2 linked regions of the Yarrowia lipolytica genome follow. The protein of the gene in region 1 purifies or fractionates together with the protein of each later gene. This does not show direct contact. Links are inferred from orthologs where the notes say so. Each region holds a gene or a part of one and is shown on either strand. Other genes may lie near its edges.

Region 1 (3,144 bases):
TTCAGGATCTGATTGGCGGAGTCGAAAAACAGATCAGCAGTTTGCATTCCAAGGAGCGGAAGCTCAAATCACAGTCTGAGCTGAATAAGAGCCGATTGGAGCAATTTCCTATGACGCGAAGAGAAGTGGTTGACGTGCCCCGTGACGCTGACAATGTTGTGGAGGTCACGGAGGAGGAACTGCAAGAACTTGAGGAGCTGCAGCGAGAACGGGAGAAGCTGAAGATGGAGATTAGTCGTCTGAATCTGGAAAAGCGGAAGAGTGTCTATGGAAAGTTGCCTCAGTAGGATATATAGGCGTACGTATTTATTTTAATTTATTTACCCATGTTGAGGGTGCTATTGCTTGCCATTTGTGACCAGACTGTGACTTGGTAGGTGGCTCTAGGAGCTATGTTGCATCGTGAGGCTTAAGGCACGCTTGTGTCATTATCACTGTAACCTGGTGTATGCCACGGTGGCATGCATTTACAGTAGTTTATAGCACAGGTTATCAGATGCCAGTAAATCATCTGAATCATGTCTTCCATCCAGTTCTGGCAGCTATAATTTACCCCCTATTGCAAAATCAAAACTCTTTAGGTATGTACATACGGCCTAAGCCTGAGCCTCCTTCTCGACTCTCTTATAATTAACGTCCAGGTAGCTTGCCAGGGAGTAGGCGTAATCGTGGACCACCTCCTCATACTTGACGGGAGGACCCTGTTCGTGCACATTGGTCACCTTCTTTTCGTCCAGACCACATGGCACAATGTGGTCGAACCAGGACAGGTTGTTGTTGACATTGAGACAGATTCCGTGGCTAGTGATGTTTCGTCGGATGTTTACACCCACAGCGGCAATCTTGGACTCTCCATCCATGGTCCAAACTCCAGTGTTTTCAGTTCGGGTGGTGAAGATTTGGTACTGGGCAAGAGCACTGATGATACTGCTCTCCAGCAGACTGATGTAGCACTTGGGGCTCAGGGCCGAGTCAGAGCCGTCATCGTTAATCTTTCGGAATTGCAGTAAATCCAGAATGGGGTATGCGACAATCTGACCCGGCCCATGAAAGGTGGTTTCTCCGCCTCGCAGGGTGTGTGCGATATCGGCCTTGGAAACATCAATTGGTTCATCGGACGGCTCGGATTTCGTCTCTCGGTGGTTGGGGGTTTCCAGAAGGGCGTCTTCTTTGCCCTGCCGTCGACCCATAGTGTACACGGGCTGCATCTGGAAGGTCAGAAGCACCGGGTCCGGCGTCTCCTTGCCTTCCTTCTTGCAGTCCAGAAACTTGCGCACAAGCTTGTCGTGGATGCCCTGTGCATCAGAATACTTGATGGGGCCCTGGATGTGCAGGTGGTTGAGTGTCAGCGGTCGCACCGGTCGAGCTCGGGTCCAGATCATTGTTTCTTGCCTAAACAGACGTGGAATTTGTCGAAAGCGCACGGAAGCACCCAAACTTAATTCTGTGTGGAAATATGCCGGCATTTCATGGAATAAATCTTGAATAAACAAAATAACTCGAATAAAACGGGACGATGAATAAATTGTGTCTCATTTGTTATTCTGATTTTTTGCAATCAAAATATACTCCTTAGGAGCTTCACGCATTTGCTAGTGTCAAACAGAGTGAGAGCCTATACACTACTTGAAATAACAGTCGAGAATGTTGAATGTGTCGCAGGCACAAGTAAGCATAGACGTTCATCAGTGAGTCAGAATCTCTTAGAATAGACCTTGTACTGCTATTCGGACTGTGTTAGATTGCCTCTTTTGTATGATTTGGGCAAATGATGATGTCCTGGTCACTACTGTATTCATAAATCAAACACCCGAAGCCCGTTGGCGTATCGGAGCCCATCATGCACTGATAGCTTTTATCCGAGGTTGCGCGTGAGTCTATATCTGTGGATTTGAGGTCGTTTCGAAGGTGGCGACTTTCTAGAAGAGCTTGTGAGTCGGTTTCCGAAGTCGTTATTGAAGCTGAAACCCCGAGTGTTGTGTGGATGATACCTGTGTTTCGAGTGAATAACTGCTGGAGTATTGAGCTGGAGACTGGTATACAAATGGGTATGAAATTATCACTGAAATACATATTATCTGCTACTGGTAGACTGTCAACTCAGCTACTGCACAACTATCGGTACTTCCTGTACTCGTACAAGTACATAATGTACTGTAACGACTTGTTTTCTGTTGCTAACGTCTTCTCTTCTCCAGACCCTGAATTCAGGCTTATCAGATCAGAAATACATGTCCGTATTGAAGTTCAGTATCTTGGAAATCCAGTCTTTAATGGAGACACTCAATAAACAATAAAGAGTCGGATTTGTCATTCTAATTAAAACTCAACGAAATCTCTCTCAACCCCGCAGAGTCCCTCACCTCTTAGAATTTGTCTCACCATCAAGGAACGTCTCGTCTCGTTGATGACTTGTCTGACTCTGGCTCGACAAATCTGAGTCTGGATAGGATTTCTGGTTACCCAAAAGCAATAATGAGGCGTGTTTAATGCGTCCCCGGACTCGTTGTCGGCTTTTGCTCTTTTGGACCATCTTATCAACCTGCCCCATGTGCTATTGTAGTCTGTTTGTTTAGTTAGTAGCTGTAAGTAGTTACAGTAGGAGCACTTTCTCTGCACAGCAATGTAGTTTATAGCGCACAGTAGCTTGAGTGTTTTAGCACAACGTAGATAAAATCACTCAAGCGGTCTGTCAATGGCCGGTTCACGTCCTCGTCAGCTGTCTGGAGCTACACAGCCACTTTCGGGCACACCCGGTGACCCATAAAACAAAAATTGTACGTTTCCACAGCCGCACTATCCGAGTAATGTACCTGCTTCCGGTGCTTCATTTGAGGAGGGTGAGATGAGAGCATAAACTGAGGGTTAAGTGGAGTCTAACCATTAGAGGTGTGGTGAAAATGGATCACGAGGCACAAAAAGCTGCACAAAACACAATTTACGAGATTAATGCTGATGCTTCGTGTAAATGTGTTTTGGCGAGACCCCAAGAATTTTATTATATGCCGTTTTTCCGATCTCACCCCATAATGGAGACACAATGCTTGTACTTAGTACTTGTAGCTTTGTTTGTTGAGGGGTATGTACCGACTGTATGCACACTGCATTTGGCAGTCATAACAGAGAAGAGAACAGCACACCACA
Region 2 (3,082 bases), on another chromosome or scaffold:
CCATGGAGATTGTCTGATACAACCCTAGATCCCGTTAGATCCCGTTAGATCGATACAACACCGCTCAGACGTTGGCGTTTTGACTTTGAAAGATTGCTAGCCAGAACGTCGTGGGGGGCTCACTTTTGGGACCTTTTAGCAACTATCCAACGGGTATGAGGTTAAACCTATAGCTCGCCAAGCAAACTTGATAAAGATGGACTCTTAGTGGACCACCTCGAGAGTAGAGATTTATGCAATTGCAATTGCTTTTGCTGCTGCTCGCTCACGGATGCCGTATCCTCGTTCCTGAGACAGTATATTTTCGCTGCATTGCAGGTACGAGCGTTACGGGCCTGGTTCGCCAAGTCATGTGTGCCCTCGGACATATACCGACATTAGACTGCGGCCTCACCATGCACCTCCCCTTACATTTTCTTACTTTGCTATAGGAAAACGTGCTCAAAGAAGATAGTTCTACTTGTAGCGTACAGTACTTGCATACTGCCTCGTACCGGCGAGACGACGGTTGCAGTGGGCTTACAAATTCTGCACTTTGCTCACTTCTGTGATGTAGACACAAAAGAAAAAATCAAACACGATAGCCGGGAACAGGCTTAGATCACAACCTGCGTATTACTCTATATATTCGGGCTAAGTATCTGTAAAATGTTCACAGCGATTAGTGGGCGTTCTTGAGGAACTCATCGTACTCCTCGGCAGTGAGCAGACCCTCAGTCTCCTCGGCACCCTCGATGGGCTTGACCTTGGCGAGGTAACCGTTTCCGTTGGGCTCCTTGTTGATGAGAGAGGGAGTGTCGGCAACGTCAAAGTTAGACTCGACCACCTCGAAGTCGAAGGGAGCAATGATGTCGTTGGTAGCCTTGACGGACTCGACGTTTCCAAAAGCATCGTCCTTCTCGATCTCGTTACCGGCCTCCTCAACCTCAACGAAAGTGGCATCTCCAAGGGCCTCAGCAGCGTACTTGGTGATACCAATGAAGGCAACGCCGTCCTCGTGGAAGGCAACCCAGTCGTGATCCTCGGTGAACTTGAGGGTGTACTTGTTGGAGTACTTGTCGGGAATGGAGCCCTTGATGAGGGTGTGGTTGAGTCGCATCATGGTCAGAGGAGCCATTGTAGGAGCCATGGTGGCTCGGGGAGCGAATCGGAGGGAAGATCGGGCCAGAGTTCGAAGCATTGTGTGTGTTTTTGTGAGTGTAGTTGTGGTGGTGGAACGATATGTTGTCTGGGGTAGGCCACAGTTAAGTTAGGTGGATTGGGGTGACTCGGTTTGACTCAGTGAAGGTAGGGTAAGTGAAGTAGAGAGAACTGTGGGGGTGATCTGATAAATGTGGGTGAATAATGAATCACAAGAATGAGAATCAATATAGACGAGAACAATTCCCGACCACCCTAGACTCTATATACACCACACAGTTGCTCACAAACTCGAGCTGTTCTAGGCCGGCAACTAAACCTTGGACTATTGAGACAGCCGCCTTAACGAGATACGATAATGTGCAGTAGTTGCAACTGCGTACTCAGCTGCCTGTCAGACTCAGTGCTGAGAACACGATAACACTGAGTACAGTTGACGCGGGTGACATGATAGAAGCCGACTTGAGCTTCGAGAAATCGAATACTTGGGCCCCTTCTGTGATCTGTCATTGCTCCTGAAGGGCCATCCCTAGACTGGAACCACGGTCCAATTCACCCCACACAACCAATGATTCAGCCGCACATGGGTCTGATGCGTACTTATGTGCACAACTTGCAGGCTCGGTGCTTCATCAGAGGATACTATGGAAGCAGCTTTCAGGCGACCGTCTGAATAGGGGACAGTACGAAATTTGGCTACAAACAGGCATCTACAGTATGTACACACGAGTAGTCGAGTGGCTGAGAAATAGTTGACAGATATTCTACAAGTACAGACGTGTGTCGGTTGATCGAGAATCCATATCTTCTCAAATGATATACAGGAGAGGTAGACTTTTTCTTTCTTTCTCCAGCGCCGTTCCTAATACTTGTACTATTACAGTATCTCGAGATATCACCGTTTTCCAGGCACTTAGGTAAGTGTCTTAGTTGGCTGATTACTTGGGTAAAATTTGAAAGCCAGGACATCATCAATATCATTTAACTAATGTCTGTTAGCTGCACAAAAATGGAAACAATCCCAGAAGCACTCATAGCTCTTGCAAGATACCATTTATCAATAGACCCCATCAAATAATCATCATTAACCAGGACTGTGGTCTCGAGAAATGTGACAGGCCATCAATGCTCTTCCTACTGTAGGTTAAAACAGGTTAAAACAGGTTAAAACAGGTTAAAACGCCATCTGCCCGTAATACTGTAGTCAGTGATATTACATACAGCGACTCTCTCAGAGCAAGCTACAATACCTGCCGGTATGGTACTTGTCCGAGATGTTGCACCCACAGGTCATTTCCAGGTATGTACAGTACATACTTGATACTGGTACATGCTCCGAACGCAAAAAATGCACGTGACTTTTACCTGAGCAGTAATTAGAGATGAATGTTAGCAGCATCTGGCTTACATGAACGCAGTCATATATTTTATCCACTTTGAGAGCAACCAGACCCCTCAGGTAAATTTCCTTTATTGTTCATATATCCGACCTACCTATTTCGGCTCGATATTAAAGTGCTCTTAATTACTCACGTATTGTACTGACAGACCGACCATGTTCAGAGTGCCAAAATAAGGTTGCAGCATCCAGTAACATTTTCAACCTTCATCTCTCACACGACGTCATCGCATCCCAACTACCCCTCTACACAACAGACTCGAAATGCTCTACGAACTCGTTGGAATCGCATCGGTGACTCCGGCACACGCGGCCGCCAAGCAGGCCGTCACCCAGATCGGCCGAATGATCATCGGCAACAGAGGCGTGGTCCGCCTCATTGAGTGCTGGCGATTCAAGCCCCTGCCCCAGATCATGAAGGCCCAGCAGAAGAGCTACGTGGTCGGCGACTACTTCTACATGAAGTTCGACTGTTCTCCCGGAGCCCAGGGCGAAATCATGCGAGCTGTCCAGGCTGACCCCCGTTTGATTCGAACCTTTTGC

The links. Proteins that work in one complex are often made in the same cells at the same time.
Region 2: the proteins of YALI1_F34729g (region 1) and YALI1_E00574g purify together in Saccharomyces cerevisiae (affinity purification with mass spectrometry; 3 studies listed by BioGRID). This does not show direct contact. The link is inferred for Yarrowia lipolytica from reciprocal best matches to the Saccharomyces cerevisiae genes LIP2 and GCV3.

The regions. Positions count from the first base shown.
Region 1 is NC_090775.1:3,471,455-3,474,598, forward strand, and holds YALI1_F34729g (uncharacterized protein), read right to left. Parts: upstream 1,467-3,144; coding exon 597-1,466; downstream 1-596. Other genes in the region: YALI1_F34712g (uncharacterized protein), read left to right, coding at 1-287; YALI1_F34737g (uncharacterized protein), read right to left, coding at 2,222-2,315, 2,364-2,551. UniProt on the Saccharomyces cerevisiae protein: Catalyzes the transfer of endogenously produced octanoic acid from octanoyl-acyl-carrier-protein onto the lipoyl domains of lipoate-dependent enzymes. Lipoyl-ACP can also act as a substrate although octanoyl-ACP is likely to be the physiological substrate.
Region 2 is NC_090774.1:55,586-58,667, reverse strand, and holds YALI1_E00574g (uncharacterized protein), read right to left. Parts: upstream 1,181-3,082; coding exon 662-1,180; downstream 1-661. Other genes in the region: YALI1_E00551g (mitochondrial 37S ribosomal protein bS6m), read left to right, coding at 2,804-3,082. UniProt on the Saccharomyces cerevisiae protein: The glycine cleavage system (glycine decarboxylase complex) catalyzes the degradation of glycine. The H protein shuttles the methylamine group of glycine from the P protein to the T protein.